2 linked regions of the Macaca mulatta genome follow. The protein of the gene in region 1 binds, or shares a complex with, the protein of each later gene. Links are inferred from orthologs where the notes say so. Each region holds a gene or a part of one and is shown on either strand. Other genes may lie near its edges.

What was found. Proteins that work in one complex are often made in the same cells at the same time.
Region 2: the proteins of NLRP5 (region 1) and YWHAG are in contact, whole or in part, in a cryo-EM structure (PDB 8XI3), measured with the Mus musculus proteins. The link is inferred for Macaca mulatta from reciprocal best matches to the Homo sapiens genes NLRP5 and YWHAG. Residues at the interface, in NP_035990.1 of Mus musculus: Ser1030, Cys1031, Ser1055, Gln1058, Cys1059, Pro1060, Val1061, Glu1084, Phe1087, Val1088, Lys1089; in NP_061359.2 of Mus musculus: Phe201, Tyr216, Thr220, Met223, Gln224, Arg227, Asp228, Thr231, Ser235.

Annotation. Positions count from the first base shown.
Region 1 is NC_133424.1:68,394,595-68,398,445, reverse strand, and holds part of NLRP5 (NACHT, LRR and PYD domains-containing protein 5), read right to left. Parts: intron 3,405-3,851; coding exon 3,237-3,404; intron 275-3,236; coding exon 104-274; intron 1-103. UniProt on the Homo sapiens protein: Component of the subcortical maternal complex (SCMC), a multiprotein complex that plays a key role in early embryonic development.
Region 2 is NC_133408.1:49,994,492-49,999,017, reverse strand, and holds the start of YWHAG (14-3-3 protein gamma), read right to left. Parts: upstream 2,977-4,526; 5' UTR 2,738-2,976; coding exon 2,651-2,737; exon of another isoform or gene 1-2,650. UniProt on the Homo sapiens protein: Adapter protein implicated in the regulation of a large spectrum of both general and specialized signaling pathways. Binds to a large number of partners, usually by recognition of a phosphoserine or phosphothreonine motif.

The DNA.
Region 1 (3,851 bases):
CAACTTCCTTCCTCACCCTGTTTGTGCATCTGCTCATTCCCCTCCCACCATGACTGGAGAATCGAAGTTACCATAATCCCGGTGGAAAGGAAGTGGCACTCACGTCAGCTTCTGCAGGGCGCACTGGGAGACCCTCAAGGCATCACTGAGAGGCGTCACTCCCTGGTCTGTCACCTCATTTCCTGCCAGGCTCAGAGACTTCAGGCTGGGAGAGGTCGTAAGGATTTGGGAGATCTTCAGGTAACAGGCGTGGGTCAATCCACAGCGATCCAGCCTGCAGAGACAGGCAGCATGAAGCAATCCCAGCTCTCGCCCAAAGCAGCCCATTTCCCCTCTACTCAGCACACGCCAGTGGCACTGGCCATTTTCCTGGTCCTCAGACTCTGTCTGCTCCTGCCTCTGGGCCTGAAAATTTGCTATTCCTTCCATTGCAACCTCCCCTCCTCCCCCCTCCCTCAGGTCTTCATGGGGCTCATGTCCTCGTTCATGTCTCTTGAAGGTCGCCTTTCGGGTAAGCCACACCTTAAACAGTGCCTGCCCCACCTCCCTCCATTGTTTCAACATTCATAGCAACGCACCCCAGCCTTTTATTTTTATTTTTTTTTTTGAGACAGGGTCTTGCTCTCGTCACCCAGGCTGGAGCGCAGTGGCTCAGTCTTGGCTCACTGTAACCTCCGCCTCCCGGGTTCAAGCAAGTCTCCTGCCTCAACCTACCGAGGAGCTGGGATTACAGGTGTCCTCCACCACACCCGGCTAATTTTTGTATTTTTAGTAGAGACGGGGTTTCACCATGTTGGCAAGGCTGGTTTTGAACACCCGACCTCAGGTGATCCACCTGCCTCAGCCTCCCAAGGTGCTGGGATTACAGGTGTGAACCACTGTGCCTGGCCTGTGTTGAATTTTAGACAGAACTTTTAGAGCTCTCCAAGCCTACACATGCTCCTGCCATGTGTGCACACATCATTCTTTCTGTCTTGTTTTGTTCTCCCTGTGCTGGCCTGTGAGCATCAGGAGAGCAGGAATCTCGTTTCACTCATCAGCACATCCCAGGAACTTGTCGTAGTACTACACACAGAATCAAGCATCTGTCATTATTGAATAAAGGAAAGTTCCAACTCCTCAATGTGACAGTGAATGGAAACCCTTCACAATGTGGCCCAATCCATCTTTCAATGTCAAAGTCTACCGTTTAGAGACTTAGCTCATCATCCCATCCCTCTGTACAATAAATACTTTGGGGAATACGGGCCAAGTGTTGGGAATAGAGCAGTTCTAGGTTCTGGGGCTACAGGAGTGAAGAGAATAGAACAATACCCCTGCCCCTGTGTGTTATGAGAAGGGAAATTCATTAGACTTCCAGGAAACTGGACCTAAGTGACTTCAATGCTTTTTCCTTTCTTGGCCCCAAATAGCCTAGATCCATCTTTTCTGACAACGTGTATATTTATTCTTTGAATCCAAGCTCCAGCTCTCTGCACTTGTGGTGCAGAGTGAGCAAAAGAGTGAGCATGTAGCTTCCTCCAATCTGTTCCCAGATAAACCCCACGTGAGGTCAGGCACAGCATTTCCGTCCTGAGACGATGTCTATGCTTTGGCCAATTTCCCTGGGTTACATCTTTTTAAAGTACAGTTCCTTGGCTACCAGGCAAACACACACGGTGCAAAGCAAATTCTTATTATTCTTTGATGTTAGTTGATGTGCCAACTAACAAAGCTCAAAGCAGGGCTTGTACTTGTCTGTCTCAGAATATTTGGGAGGGTGCAGCAGGTGGATCACTTCAGGTCAGAAGTTCGAGTCCAGCCTGGCCAACATGGTAAAACCCCCATCTCTACTAAAAATACAAAAATTAGCCAGGTGTGGTGGTGCACGCCTGTAATCCCAGCTACTCGGGAGGCTGAGGCAGGAGAATCACTTGAACCCGGGAGGCAGATGTTGCAGTGAGCTGAGATCACACCACTGCACACCAACCTGAGCAACTGAGCTAGATTCAGTCTCAAAAAAAAAAAAAAAAAAAAAAAAAAAAGGAAAAGAAAAAAGGAAAAGAATACTACATAAACATTAAATAGTTGTATCTCTAGACCAAGCTAATCTAATGAACAAACCACCTTCCCAGGACTTGCAAACCACAGTGAGAGCCCCAAACCGGAACCAACCAACCAACCAACGTGTCCCTGGACAGGGGAATGGTTCAACTGCAGTACTTCATAGCATCGAATGGCTGTCGCCAAGAGAAAGGAAGAAAATGTCGAACACTTGACTGCTTGGGTGGATCTCAAGCACTGACGGAGCAAAGCCCGTCTCAGGCGACGACATACCACACTGACTTCACTGTAAGAGCATTGTCAAGGCCGGGCACGGTGGCTCACGCCTGTAATCCCAGCACCTTGGGAGGCTGAGGTGCACGGATCATGAGGTCAGGAGATCAAGACCATCCTGGCTAATATGGTGAAACCCTGTGTCTCTACTAAAAAAAAAAAAAAAGAAAAATAAAAAAAATGAGCCGGTCGTGGTGGCGGGCACCTGTAGTCCCAGCTACTCGGGAGGCTCAGGCAGGAGAATGGCATGAACCGGGTAGGCAGAGCTTGCAGTGAGCCGAGATCGCACCACTGCACTCCAGCCTGGGCAACAGAGCGAGACTCCGTCTCAAAAACAAACAAACAAACAAACAAACAAAAAAACAGACCAGACTGGGCAACCGAATGAGACCTTGCCTCTGCATAATTTTTTTCTTTTTCTTTTTCTTTTGAGATGGAATCTCGCTCTGTCACCCAGGCTGGAGTGCAGTGGTGCCCTCTCGGCTCACTGCAAGCTCTGCTTCCTAGGTTCAGGCCATTCTCCTGCCTCAGCCTCCTGATTAGCTGGGACTACAGGTACCCGCCACCACGCCCGGCTAATTTTTTTTTTGTATTTTTAGTAGAGACGAGGTTTCACCGTGTTAGCCAGGATGATCTCGATCTCTTGACCTTGTGATCTGTCCCCGCCTCGGCCTCCCAAGCATAAAAATTTTTAAATGAAACTTTGAGGTTTTTTTTTATTGTGATAAAGTATTTATAACCGAAAATGGACTATTTTAATTATTTAGGTGTGCAATTCAGTGGCATTAAACTCCTGCAACCATCACCCCCATCCACCACCAAAACTTTTTCAGCTCTTTAATTTTTGCCTCTTTCTGTAATTATTTCCAACAAAAGCAAAAACGAAGAAACAAAAGGCAAAAGCCCTACCAGAGACGCACCTCAAAGACTCCAACAAACATTTTGGGTGTTTTAAGGCTTCACACGCCATCCTTACATCCTCTTCCTTCAGGTGGGTGCCTCCCAAATTGAGGGATCTTAGGTTACGGTTGGCAATGAGGGTTCTCCAGAGGTGCTGCAGACCAGAGGCAATCTGTGCGTTCCTAAACCTGCAGGAGACGGGAAACGGGAGATGCATGTGACACTGGTGACGTTTTGTTGTGACCTCACTTATCCTTCCCATCCTTCTCCCATTCTAACTTGCAAATTTCTAATTGTATTTCCTTGTAAAGCAACGAATACCTGAGTGCCTGTGATGGGCCAGCTACTGGGAATAGCGTATGAAGCAGTATTAACAATCCCTGCCTTGAAGAGCTTAATCCATCCAAACCCGTCCAAACCTGGTGTCAAGGAACCTGCTTCAGTAACACAAGGTTTTTGTTTGTTTTGTTTGAGATAGAGTCTTGCTCTGTTGCCCAGGCTGGAGTGCAGTGGCGCAATTTTGGCTCACTGTAACCTCCACCTCACTGGTTCAAGCAATTCCCTTGCCTCAGCCTCTCAAGTAGCTGGGATTACAGGCACGTACCACCATGCCCTACTAATTTTTTTTGTATTTT
Region 2 (4,526 bases), on another chromosome or scaffold:
ATTAAACTCAAATAAATTTTAATCCATCAACAGGATGATTTCGGCCTTAAAAGAGAGCTCACTTGAGTGGTAAGACTGGGTTCTTTCTCTGCAGTTTCCAAATTCTCCATGATGACTTTTATAAACAGGAAGACAATTTCTTAGGTAGTTGCCATTTGGGAACACCTACTACATTTCTTATTGAATCCGCACAACTTTTTCAAGTACTGTCCCATTTTATAGATGAGGAAAATGAGGGACAGGGCCTATTTCCTTAAAGTCACAGGAAACAGAGTTGAAAAAAGGTTTTTATTTTACAAACTGTTCTTTCCTCTATACTGTGAAGGAGCAGAAGCACAAATCTAGTAAAAAACAAACTTCCCAAACCTCGATTTAAAAGGTTTTGGAACTGGTTCTCATTCCCTAACAGTAACTGAAAATGACTCAGTAGAAAGTCATCATTTTTTTAAGGTTTTTATTAAAACCTGCCAAATTCATTATCTGAAATAAACACAAGTACACATCTCATCTCTGCACTATTATCGTAAACTATATTCTTGTTTAAAATTTCTACTTTCATTCCATAAAATATATTATCGTTTAAAATTTCTACTTTTATTCCATTATTGCCCAGTATTTTAAATAAGTGAGATGAATGTTTAAAAATATAAAAAAAGCATCTTATAAACTTTTGTGAGAAAGCTAGCAATAGGGTGAACAAGGCCTAGCTAGAGGTCAGGGATCTGCATGTTTAAGGGTAAATGAAATCCTTATTTTTTGGACTAATTCTTATCTGGTGGAATATGAAGTGCTCGATTCCACCTGGCTTATCGGCTAATTTCTGCATTACCTTGGATAAATGCCATTTGCACACTCCCTACCAGCCCTTAGGTGCATTGCAGCCTCTGTGTCATTGTGTGTGACATCACTTGGTTGCTATAGATATAGGTGCGAGGTCACTCGCTTTCCTGTGGAACTAGAAATACGGAAAAATTAGAAGAGTCTAAATTAAATAACACGAACTGAAGATATTTCCAATACTGATACCCATTAGAAGTGCAACTTACATCATTTGAGCATTAAAACCTTGTAAGACAGCAGCTGTGGCCATAGCAGTATTCCGAATTTCAGAACCGGTTCTCTTCTTTAATAAGACAAAAACATTTCTTTGTTAAAATACCTGGTTTAAATGTAAAGGTATCAGCATTGTCCTCTTTTGAGAACCAGTAAAGTTATTCAAGAATTGATCTGTAATATCAATAATGCTTCATTTAAAAGATGTAACATGCAAGGTACACTCCAGCATCCACTTTACAATGGAGATGCATTTGAAAAACCTTTGTTACATAAGGCAGGAAATTAAATATTAAGATAGTGGGGGCCCGAAATCATTAATTTTCTACCTTTCATTTCATAATGTTCAATACTTCCCCCTCCTCTAATATCAAACTGGTTGACAGCCCATTAGATAAATGTAGTGTTACTGACAAAATGGTGCAATACAGGGAGGAATCTGCAACCCAGACAAAATGCGACAACTGGAGATCAGTATTCTCTTTTCATCAGCATGAAGACGTACTCGCTTTAAAAAAAAAAAAAAAAAAAAAAAAAAGCCTCAGATGCATCTAACGACCAAAAATTTTTAAAAAGACTTTTTCCCCTTTAAAATAACTCCTCCCAGCCTCCACCCAGTCTAGGCTCTCTGCAATATGACAAATGCAGAATCTTCTGGAATGACTTGATACTGCCTCTCACCACCGCTTTGTTTGCACTATCAGATCAGACAGAATATTTTTTCCCCCAACTTATAGGAATTTCACAGACGCGTGCCTGTATTCAAAAAAGAAACGGCATATGTCACACGGATCGAACCAGTCAGCTACATTCACCACCTTTTATTTTACAGGCAATACCTACCCTTTTCAATACAAAAACATTAGGGAATAAAATGGAGATGACATGTTGAAAACGATCAACGAAAACGCTAGCGAGACAAACGTTCCCCCTTCCTAAAAGCCGGAGGACTTGCTTTGGGGGAATGGAGAAAGAAGAGCCTTTTGTTAAGAAAAACGTGAGCAAGGTGGTTTCGATTTTGCGCCACGGAGCTCAGGTTTTCAAGAGACCCTATACAATGTTTCTGGGAAGATTCACAGGGATCTGTCGGGACAGACAGTGGGGAAGATTTTGGGGGGGCTGGGGAGGTGGAAAACCGGGAGACCTGCTGAGTGAATGGGAAAGGCGCCGCCCAGACACCAGGGAGAGAAAGAGGAACCGCATCCATGCGGTCCCCCGCCCCCACGCCCGGGCTGGGAGGAGGGGGGAAGTGGGGCACAAAGGATGCGCACGCCTCCCCGCTCGGATCCCCTGTACCCCTAGAGCCGCTGGGACCGGAGACCCCGCTCCCAAGTCCAGCCCCGCAGGACCCCGCCCCGCCCCGCGCCCGCGCCGGGCCAGAGAGGCCGCGCCGCGGGGCCCCGGGGACGCCGAGGAGAGGCCGCGTCACAGCCCGTGTTCCCGTCGGCTCTGGGGACCCTCCCCGGCCCCCCTCAGTGAGCGAGACGGGGCGGTCACCCCACCATCGCGACAGGGCGACGAAGCCCCGGGCCTTCCACGCCAAGGACCGCGTCTTCGGAGGGGCAGGGAGCGGCGGGGGAGGGGAGGAGACACTCACGTTCTTCATGGCCGCGGCCATGTCGTCGTAGCGCTCCGCCTGCTCGGCCAGCCGGGCTTTCTGCACCAGTTGCTCGCGGTCCACCATCTTCGCGGAGCTGGGTCTGGCCGGAGAAGGAGGAGGACACTGGGGTGGCGTGAAGGGCTTGGAGGGCGCGATTGGAGCCCAAGTGCCGGAGAGGACCGACCCACGGAGCGAGCGGCTGAGGCGGCGGCTGCGCGGAGGAGGCGGCTGGAGCTGCGACCGCGGGACCGGGAGCGAGGCGGCTGCGGCTGCTGTGCGTGCCACGGACGGACAACCCCCTGCGGCCCCGCCCACGCCGCATGACGCAGGCAGGCCCCGCCCGCTCGTCCGCAAGCCCCGCCCAGGCCCCGCCCGGGCCCGGCCGCGGCTAGAGCTCCCCGCTCCCCAACTCGGCTCACTGCGCGTCTTCCGGGCACCACGTCCTTTCCCACTGCGCCCCCACTCTCCTCTTTATTCACTTCACTCCTCAGTTCCCTCACCCCAGCTTCTCCAGACGCCCCCTTATCCCTCTCCCTTCAGCCCCCCGCCCCGCCAGGCCTCCGACGCATGGGCCCTTGGGAGTTGTAGTGTAACCTGCCGTGGGCCGAGGCGTTGAGAAGACCGAGGACAAAGGGGCGGTCAAGACTACAACTCCCAGCGGAGGTAGCGCGCAGGCGCAGGAGGACTGGGGGGGTGGTTCGAATCCCGAGGCCGCTGGGGACCCCTGGCGGGGATCAGGGCTGCATCAGTCCCTGCGAGTGCTGATTCACCGCCCCGCCCCATATTCTCCGGGAAATTACGAGAGGAGGGGGCAGGGGCCTCAGTCCTAGACCCTGTTTCCGAGATCACGTAGCAGGTCGTGGTGGGGGAAGGATAGGAGGCGCGTCCTTTGTAGATCCAGACTCTCAGTGTGGTGCCTGCCCGCGGGATGGCTGAATTAAGGGGCCAGACTCGGGGGACTGTCACCTCCTCCCCCTACGAGCTTCCACTAACCCCCCACCCCACCTTGAGGCTCTTGGGCCTGACTAGGTGAAAACAAGGACGAACGACAAATACCGGCTGGCCACACTGGTTGGTTTCCAGAAAGGATGCAGCTGCCTGCTGGCTGACCCTGGAGAACCCCTTCTTCCTCTCCAGGGTGGAGTGCTAAAGATTCAGTTCAGCTACCAGGAGCCTACTCCACGCCTTAACGGGCTGTGTCTGGGGCTTAGTTGTCCAGCCCTTCTCTCCCCTCCTAGGCATACGTACCTACTGAGGTCACGCTGATATATTCTCGTTCATATTATTCCACGTAGCTTAAAGATAGACTAGGTTTTTTTGCTTTGTTTTGTTTTTTGTAGAGACGAGGGTCTAGCTTTGTTGCCCATGCTAGTCTCGAACTCCTGGGCTCGAGCGATCCTCACGCCTCGGCCTCCCAAAGTGCTGGGATTACAGATGTGAGCCACCATGCCTGCAGGCCCCATAGTTTTGACTACACATTTTATTTACTTTATGTATTCAACAATTATCTGTGAGAAGCTACTGTGTTCCAAGCCCTATTCTAAGCCACAAGGTACAGTAGTGAACAAAACAGAAAAAAATCCCTTCCCAAGAAAATAGGCAAGATATGTACAGTATGCTAGAAGTCAATAAGACGTGAGCTTTGAGGTTGCAGTGAGCTGAGATCGTGCCACTGCACTCCAGCATGGGTGACAGAGCGAGACTCCATCTCAAAAAAAAAAAAAAAAAAAGGAAATGAGCTTTGGCTGGTCTTGGTGACTCACACCTGTAATCCCAACACTTTGGGAGGCCGAAGCGGGTGGATCATCTGAGGTCGGGAGTTCAAGACCAGCCTGGCTAATGTGGCGAAACCCCATCTCTACTAAAAATACAA